Linked DNA regions of Coturnix japonica. The protein of the gene in region 2 interacts with the protein of the main gene of each other region in a pairwise test. Links are inferred from orthologs where the notes say so. Each region holds a gene or a part of one and is shown on either strand. Other genes may lie near its edges.

What was found.
Region 1: the proteins of CASP10 (region 2) and RIOK3 interact in binary tests that used the Homo sapiens proteins (3 or more experiments, as listed by UniProt). The link is inferred for Coturnix japonica from reciprocal best matches to the Homo sapiens genes CASP10 and RIOK3.

The regions. Positions count from the first base shown.
Region 1 is NC_029517.1:92,943,434-92,947,255, reverse strand, and holds part of RIOK3 (serine/threonine-protein kinase RIO3), read right to left. Parts: coding exon 3,728-3,822; intron 3,527-3,727; coding exon 3,383-3,526; intron 1,984-3,382; coding exon 1,856-1,983; intron 1,370-1,855; coding exon 1,178-1,369; intron 297-1,177; coding exon 137-296; intron 1-136.
Region 2 is NC_029522.1:9,912,299-9,916,120, reverse strand, and holds part of CASP10 (caspase-10), read right to left. Parts: coding exon 3,748-3,822; exon of another isoform or gene 2,987-3,747; coding exon 2,898-2,986; exon of another isoform or gene 2,268-2,897; coding exon 2,231-2,267; exon of another isoform or gene 1,879-2,230; coding exon 1,807-1,878; exon of another isoform or gene 1,584-1,806; intron 716-1,583; coding exon 627-715; intron 1-626. UniProt on the Homo sapiens protein: Involved in the activation cascade of caspases responsible for apoptosis execution. Recruited to both Fas- and TNFR-1 receptors in a FADD dependent manner. May participate in the granzyme B apoptotic pathways.

The DNA.
Region 1 (3,822 bases), on a different chromosome or scaffold from region 2:
AAGTAACTCATTAAACAGCAGCAAAATAAGCCTTTGGACTCTCCATACTTGGAAATTGATCCTAGAAAGTAAATAAATGCTGATTTGTCCTTCACGTCATTCAATAAAAGTAGATGTCACAGCGGCATTGCCTTACATCAAGAACTTGATAGTAGGCCTTTTTCATATCTTCACTATTAAGCTTCACATCCTTTAGTTTAGGTGCTGGGACTTGATCCTGGCCAATGAAAGACATAACCAAGACGTGTTTCTTAAGGATAACCACTTGAGGACAAGGAATTCCTGCATTCTGCATTCTGTGGATAAAGACAAATAAATATTGATAAATATTTATATAAATAAATATTTATATAAATAAATATCAAGAATAAAAATAAAGCAATAACAATTAAAAAAAAACACAATCTAGTTATGGCTTGTTCAGTTCAAAGCTGCATGCGAGAGATCTGACCCAGAAGTCACAGAATCACAGAATGACCCGGGTTGGAAGGGACCTCAAGGATCATGTAGTTCCAACCCCCTGCCTAGCAGGGCCACCAAACATACACATTTACTAGATCAGGTTGCCCAGGGCCCCGTCCAACCTGGCCTTGAACACCTCCAAGGACGGGGCATCCACAACCTCCCTGGGCAACCTGTTCCAGGGCCTAACCACTCTCCTAGTGAAGAACTTCCCCCCAACATCCAACTTAAATCTTCCCTCTTTCAACTTAAAACCATTTCCCCTTGTCCTGCTATTGTCAGCCCTTTCGAAGAGTTTACTCCCCTCCTGGGTGTAGGTTCCCTTCAGGTATTGAAAGGCTGCAATGAGGTCACCCCGCAACCTTCCCTTCTCCAGGCTGAAGTCTTTGACACAGAGGACTGTTAAGTGGTTACGTATTTCTACCCCTCTACATTTCACTTAGGACTCTAAAGTCTGAGTTATCCAAAATGTGCCTAAAAATGGTAATGGAAAACTAATTACTTATACAGCTAGAGGCTGCTAACTTCACAGGCTTATAAATTCAACTGCCAAATCCCTGAAGACGCTCTTAATTCATTAAACTGTAAGAAAACAGATGCTTATTCAGTCTATGCCAACAACAAATGTAGACTTCTACCCAAACACATTCTAACTTTCTAAAGCAGAGAGTAGGAAACCAACAAGCATTTAATAAAATAGACTGCTTATTTTTACCTTGTTAAGTTATGCATTTCTTTCTCAGCCCACATGCGAATAATCTTCCGCGGATTCAATTTACTGAAGCGGTCTTTGAACCTGTAGTCATCCTTGATGTATTTGTCACGGTTTTTGAATTCATTGAGAGTGGTTTTGAACACCTTAATGGCACATTCTGGAGGTATAACTTTATCATCTTCAGTTGCACTTCTCGTGGAAAAGAGTCAAGCACACAACAACATTCACTATTCACATCCTCGCAAGAAAACGTACATTTGCTTTATTGCTTTTTTGTTACTGTATCAAGCTTGAAAATCACTTTGAGTTACGTTTGTAAAGGCTGTTGAGCTTGAATATGAAATATTTGATTTTTGGAACTTTGATCATATGTTATCAACCTTCAAGTAGCCCAAGATCATCATGATGGCTTTCTAGCCCAGGGTAGGTCAGTGGGAACAGACCTTCACAGAACGCTACAGTTGACTTGTTCCTAACACATCTCCAGAGAAGAAAGTGGAAGGTTTGGGGTTTTTTGGCGCTATTTGGCTTGCAGAACTTATCACTGCATACATATGAACTAAAAGTTCAAGTCCTGGCAATGAAATAAACACAGATTGTTCAAATATGTTGAGCTTTCTCCTTTTTAGGCTCTCTCTAGCACTTCAGGCTACTGTCAGTAACAAACAACATACTTACTTTCCTCCATATGCATGAAAAACAACAGATTCTTTCCCCGTGCTGATGCAGCCTGTGATGGTCTCTAGCATTCCACCACTGACCATCTTGTACAGAAGTAAACGTGTTTTAGGATCCACTGCTTTCTCCTGCGGGTGAGAAATAAGTACATGAATTATTAAAATAACCCTTTGCTTTTACAATGAGTTTATAGTATTTATACACTATAGGTGCCTAACTGCATGGGAAAAATAGCATATTAAAAGTGCTCTCTCCATTGACAAGGTGGGGCCTAAGCCCTGGTCAAGCAGGGATACTTAGAGCAGGGTGACCAGGACTGCATTCAAGCAGCAGCTGAAGACCTCCAATGAGGACACTCCATAGCTTCTGGGCAACTTGTGCCAATGTCAGATGGAAATTCTTATGTTCCATTTACACACATTGCCTCTCATCCTGGCACTGGACACCACTGAAGAGAGCCTGGTCCCATCTTCTCTGAGTGCTCCCTTCTGGTATTTATATATCTGATGAGACACCCCCAAGCCTACTCTCCAGGCTGAACACTCCCAGCCCTCCCAGCCTTGCTTCACAGGAAAGATACTCCAGCCCCTTCATCATCTCAGTGGCCCACTGCTGGACTCAGTCCATGCCTCTCTTGTACTGCAGAGCTGAGAACTGGACCAGCACTCCAGTAGCAGCCTCACCAGCACTGAGTAGAGAGCAGGGATCACCTCTCTCAACCCACTGGCAATACCTTGCCTAAAGCAGCCCAGGATGCCATCAGCCTTCTTGACTGAAGGTCTGGGTGTGCTGACGACTGGGTGTGCTGCTGGCCCATGTTCACCTCACTGGCTACCAGGTCCTTTTCTGCTAGACTGCTTTCTACCAACTAGGTGGCCCCCAGCACACTTCTGGTTCCAGGAACTGTTCCAACCCAGTGCAGGACATGGCATCTCTCCTTGCTGAACTGTAGAACATTGCTGCCTGCCCACCTCTCCAGCTTGTCAAGATCCCTCTGAATTGCTGCACAATCCTGTAGCGAGCCAGCTACCTCCCCCAGACCTCCTAGACTCACATAATCCATTAATTTACTGTAGGTACACTCTGCTGCATGGTCTAGACTCAGATTATTCCTTAAGAGAACTTCCTATAGTGTTTTCAAGAACAATCCCAAATATCGCATTACTTTTGTATAAGCTACAGTAAAGTAAAACATCTAAGTCTGAAAGACTTCACAGCAGGAATTACCACAGGCACAGTTCCAGACTCATTAAAGCTATCTACTGACTTCCTAAGTTATTAAGGAAAAATTTATTAAGTCACCTCATCTTCCTGAAACTTGCTATGAGGACAGATGTTTGCACAGCCACATGCTTCAGGGTATTTGCTGGATGATTTCTATACACAATCTCTAGGCTCATTTAGCAGAGTTAAAGACAGGTTTAAAACAACCTCTTTTACTAAAAACAGTATTCATCAAGGAATTACCAAAACAGTATTTTACCATTACATAAGATAGAGAGGATAAAAAGACTTAAAAAAACATACTGCAGTGGAATGTTCTTTCTTTTCATGGAGCCTTGCACTTCGACGTTCCTCAGAGTATGCATGCTGCTTTAAGGCATTGAAGACTTGATTTGACAGCTTTAAGTCCATCCCAATTCCATCCCCAACTTGAAACTCCGGTGCAAACTACAAGTAGAGGTAACTGTTAGGTATTGGTACTAGCAGACAACAGTTGGCAAAAGCAGGAATTTCTCATTCTCATCTGCAAAAAATCTAAGGCAGATTAAGGCTTAAGGGATAACATGCTACAAAATGAGTTTCAAAGCATCAAAAATGTATTGCTCTGAGCTCAGAACTCAGAGTGAATCTTCCTAAGCTTTCACTTACATTTTCCATACGAGCAGTGTTCTTTCTTCCACAAACCACTTCATCGTGTTTAGTAGTAATGTCCTTTCCTTTCCCTATGAAACCCTTTTTTGGTG
Region 2 (3,822 bases):
GCTTCCTCAATATCTGTGCTTATCATAAGGAAAAAGACGCAGGGAGAATTCATCAGTTACTCTGCTATGCAAGCTTAAAGAATACACATACGACTTCTAAAAAGATACCTCACAAAAGGCATCTTTTCCCCTGAACCAAGACCCCTGGTGCATTACATGTCCATGATTACTGAGCATTCTTGTCTTCTCTTATCCTTCTTATGCAGCCTTTGCACGCTACCCACTGTCTTATTTCAGGGCACCCTGAAGCTTTTTCTAAGCCACATCTAGAGAGATAGAAATGTGAAGATATATTTGTCTTCTCTATTTCTACGTGCACGTTCTGATGCCATCTCCAAAATCTGCAGCTCAAGATTATGCAAGGTGGTTTCCCTGTATCGGGGAGATAATGGTGTGTGCATAGCACCAAAGTAATGTGACAGCTTTGCCTGTACCGTGTCTTTCAATATTGTTAAGTTTCTGACCTCCAAGGTTAGAATGCCCTCCAAAATATTCTGGTTCATCAGACTGCTCAACCAGTTTCATGAGACAGAGAAATCTCACGTGTTGTTGCATGCCACTGCAAGGATGGAGACCTTATATACCTACACGATTCACAAATAATCGTTTAAGAGATTATTTCAAACCTTGGGTTCATTTTCTGCTCCACTGAATCCTCCTGACAGCTGCAGGTTCATTTTAGAGAAGACTTGTGTAAGATTAGGTGCCATGTTATCTAGGAAAAAGCAGTATAAATATTTATGAGTATTAACCCAGTACTGGTGTATGTAGCAAAAATGATTTTAATTACAGTACAGCCCTTTTTATATTTAAAATGTTGATACATCTAAAGGAATAATTCTTTCTGTATGAGATAGCACTGTCACATACAAGGCATAACATGTCTGAACATGTCTCCAGTTATTTTATGTATTTTCATGTCAAAGGCATGGTTTCTGCTTGCATTGGTTTTAGGGATCAAAGATATTTGTGGCACAATGATAGACTCTAACTGCAATAGCCAAATTAATTTTTCAATTAGAAATATTTAGAAATAAAGTGCACCATAAGAAGGATCTGTGTCTGACTACTGAAGCTCCCATTGCAGAACGCTTTTAGTTCCTGAGTGGTTCATAATAGCTCTGAGATCAAATTTTCAAGCAGCATTCAAAAAAGTTCCAAGTGGAAAACAGCAGGTTGCGCTGTGATACTTTTTAACAGGCCAGTATGTTGTGGAGTTACAAAAATAGCTGTACACATACCATCCACTGTTATTTCCACAAAATCCTTTCAGAGATCTGATCCAAATTGTGATTCACTGCTAATTAATTTATGTTTCCTTTTGAACATGCTCTCCCCTCCTTCTCGTACCTGTCTTAGGCTACTTAATGCATTCAAAACATCCCACTGTATAACACCTGGTGACTTCCTCAACTGGTAATCTTACTAGCTTTACTTTTCCAGAAAGTCACTGGAAGATGTGCAAACATTAACTGTATATATTATGCTCTCACTAGTGTATGTAGGTGCCAGGAACTAAACCAGTTTTTGTTTGCTTGCTTATTTCTGTCCTCAGACCTTCTATTTTCTGCTTATTTTAACAGCTGTTCAGCAAATATCTGAGAAGAAATCCCAGAGAACTGGCATTCCTGAACTGGAATAGAGAGACATGAAGTCCAGCACATCTTCTCATTTCCTCTATTGAGGTCCCAAAGGTATGGCAGAAAGTGCTACAAGAACTGGTGTGGTCCTTTTAAATAACACATTAAATTTCAGGCAGCAGAGAATAAAAATAGCTTAACACTGAAACCCTAAGAGAAGAGAAACCTTGGCTTCCAGGAATAGAGTTCACTCTTCCAGTAAGTTCCCATGAGCTCACAGGTTCCTCAACACAATGACCTATACAGCAAAATAAGTTTGAGGTAAAGTCTCACACAAACAAATTAACAGTTCAGTTCAATGAACAGTCACAGTGATCTATTCCTTCCTCATATTTAAACAGAGCACTGAAAAAACCACGTTAGTTTCTAGTGAATGACTAACAAAGTGCACGGGATTTGCCAATTTTCACACATTTACATAAGAGCAGAAATCCTTCAGATCTTCTTGTGCAGAAAGCAGAAGACCTTTCCAGGTAAGACAGCAAGTTAAGTGCTTAGCATTAAACTAAATGTTAGAAATTGTTTACAGTAAATAAGTGTATATAAAATTAAATGTAAAACCAACAAAACTGAGTTTTGGAAAGTCTTACCATGGATACTGGGACTGACAAATCTGATTGAGGTCTCCTATTTTTGAGTGGAGGAAAGCACATGTTAAAATTATTTTACGTACATATATATTTCATAGTGGTTACAGAAAGACAGGCTTATAAACACCGAAGCTTTCTAAGTAGCAGGTAACAAAAATACTGAGTTCCTAAGAGCAGGAAACATAACGAAACTACAGAAGACTTTTTTCACTTACTGCAAATCTCATAGAGCTGCAAACAGCCTTTTTTTTTTTTTCATATGGATCAAGAGAAAGAGCAAATTTATTTTTTTTTTCCATTTCCAAATGATCTTTCATTATGGAGATAAATAGTTCAGTAATGATCAGACGAAACCTTAAAAATCTGCAATTCATGCCTCATTCTCTAGAAGGCCTTCTTACATCTCTCTCTCATATTTCTCCTCCTAATGTTATCTTGTTCTCCAATTGCACATGAGCAATAGTAGTTCTTCAGTCTAAACTATCTGATGCTATATGCAGCTGTATTTCTTATATGCAGAACAAATATTCTTGTCCCCTTACTAAATCAAGTGGAAAGGATTAGTGAAACAACAGAGAGCCAACCAAGTATGGTTTCAAAGTGAAGGCAAAGAAAAAACAAACCCCAGACTCTAAAACCCTTGTAGGCAGCGTGTGTTCCAGTGTACCTGAGGGGAATTGAATACTCTGATGTCTGCATTGTTAGATGGTGAAGATTCCTTGATTGGCAGAGTATTCTCCTGCTGAGGCAGAGACACTAAGAAGAGGAAAAAAGGAAAATGAGTGAGAGAAATCACATGCATTTTAGGTAAATCTCTTATCAACGTGCACGTTAGAGCAAATGCAGATCTATACTTAATGAAAGGTGTACTGAAATAGAAAATGACTTTGAAACACTCAAAGGAGGCACATGGGACTGGATCTCTTGGAAGTATTGAGTGCCCTCTCACCCATACAGAACATAGCTTTGCACTTCCCAGAATTTGATTGCCATTGCTAAAATAAGTGGAAGTAGAGCCTTTCCCCCAGTATGCTTATAGTCACTCCATGGGACATTAAGTGCAGCAGTGTCACACACTGCAGTACACCAATCACACATTTAATAATTAAAGTTATCACATATCAGACAAACACACAACTTGCTTTGCCTGCTTACTAGCAAGCAACTGCTTTGTAGCTGTATGCGTTTATGAATCATGGAGTGCCTTTTATAGGATAGTCATCTCAGTGCTACCCACATAGAAGCTGAAGAGTGTGGCACAACTATGAATTTTTAGTTTCTCAGCCAGTTCTGTGCGTGCTGGACTGCTCTGCGTGGCCTCAAACATTTGAGCACATTCCAAATGGGGGATAATGATGTAATGCAAGGTAGGGACAGTTATGTAGAACATGTGTGTGAAGATACTGAGCAATCCCAATCTAGTAAAGCACACGTGGATCTTTCAAGTTGGGTTGCCCGGACCCTCGTAGAGCTTCCTGCATTTTAGCAAGTCCATTCTTTGGCTCTGAATTGCTCACCTTTTGCCATTCTGTAGCAGTTTACTGTTGCCAGGAGATCAGGTGAAACACTTGTAAAGACTTCCTCCAGTGTCT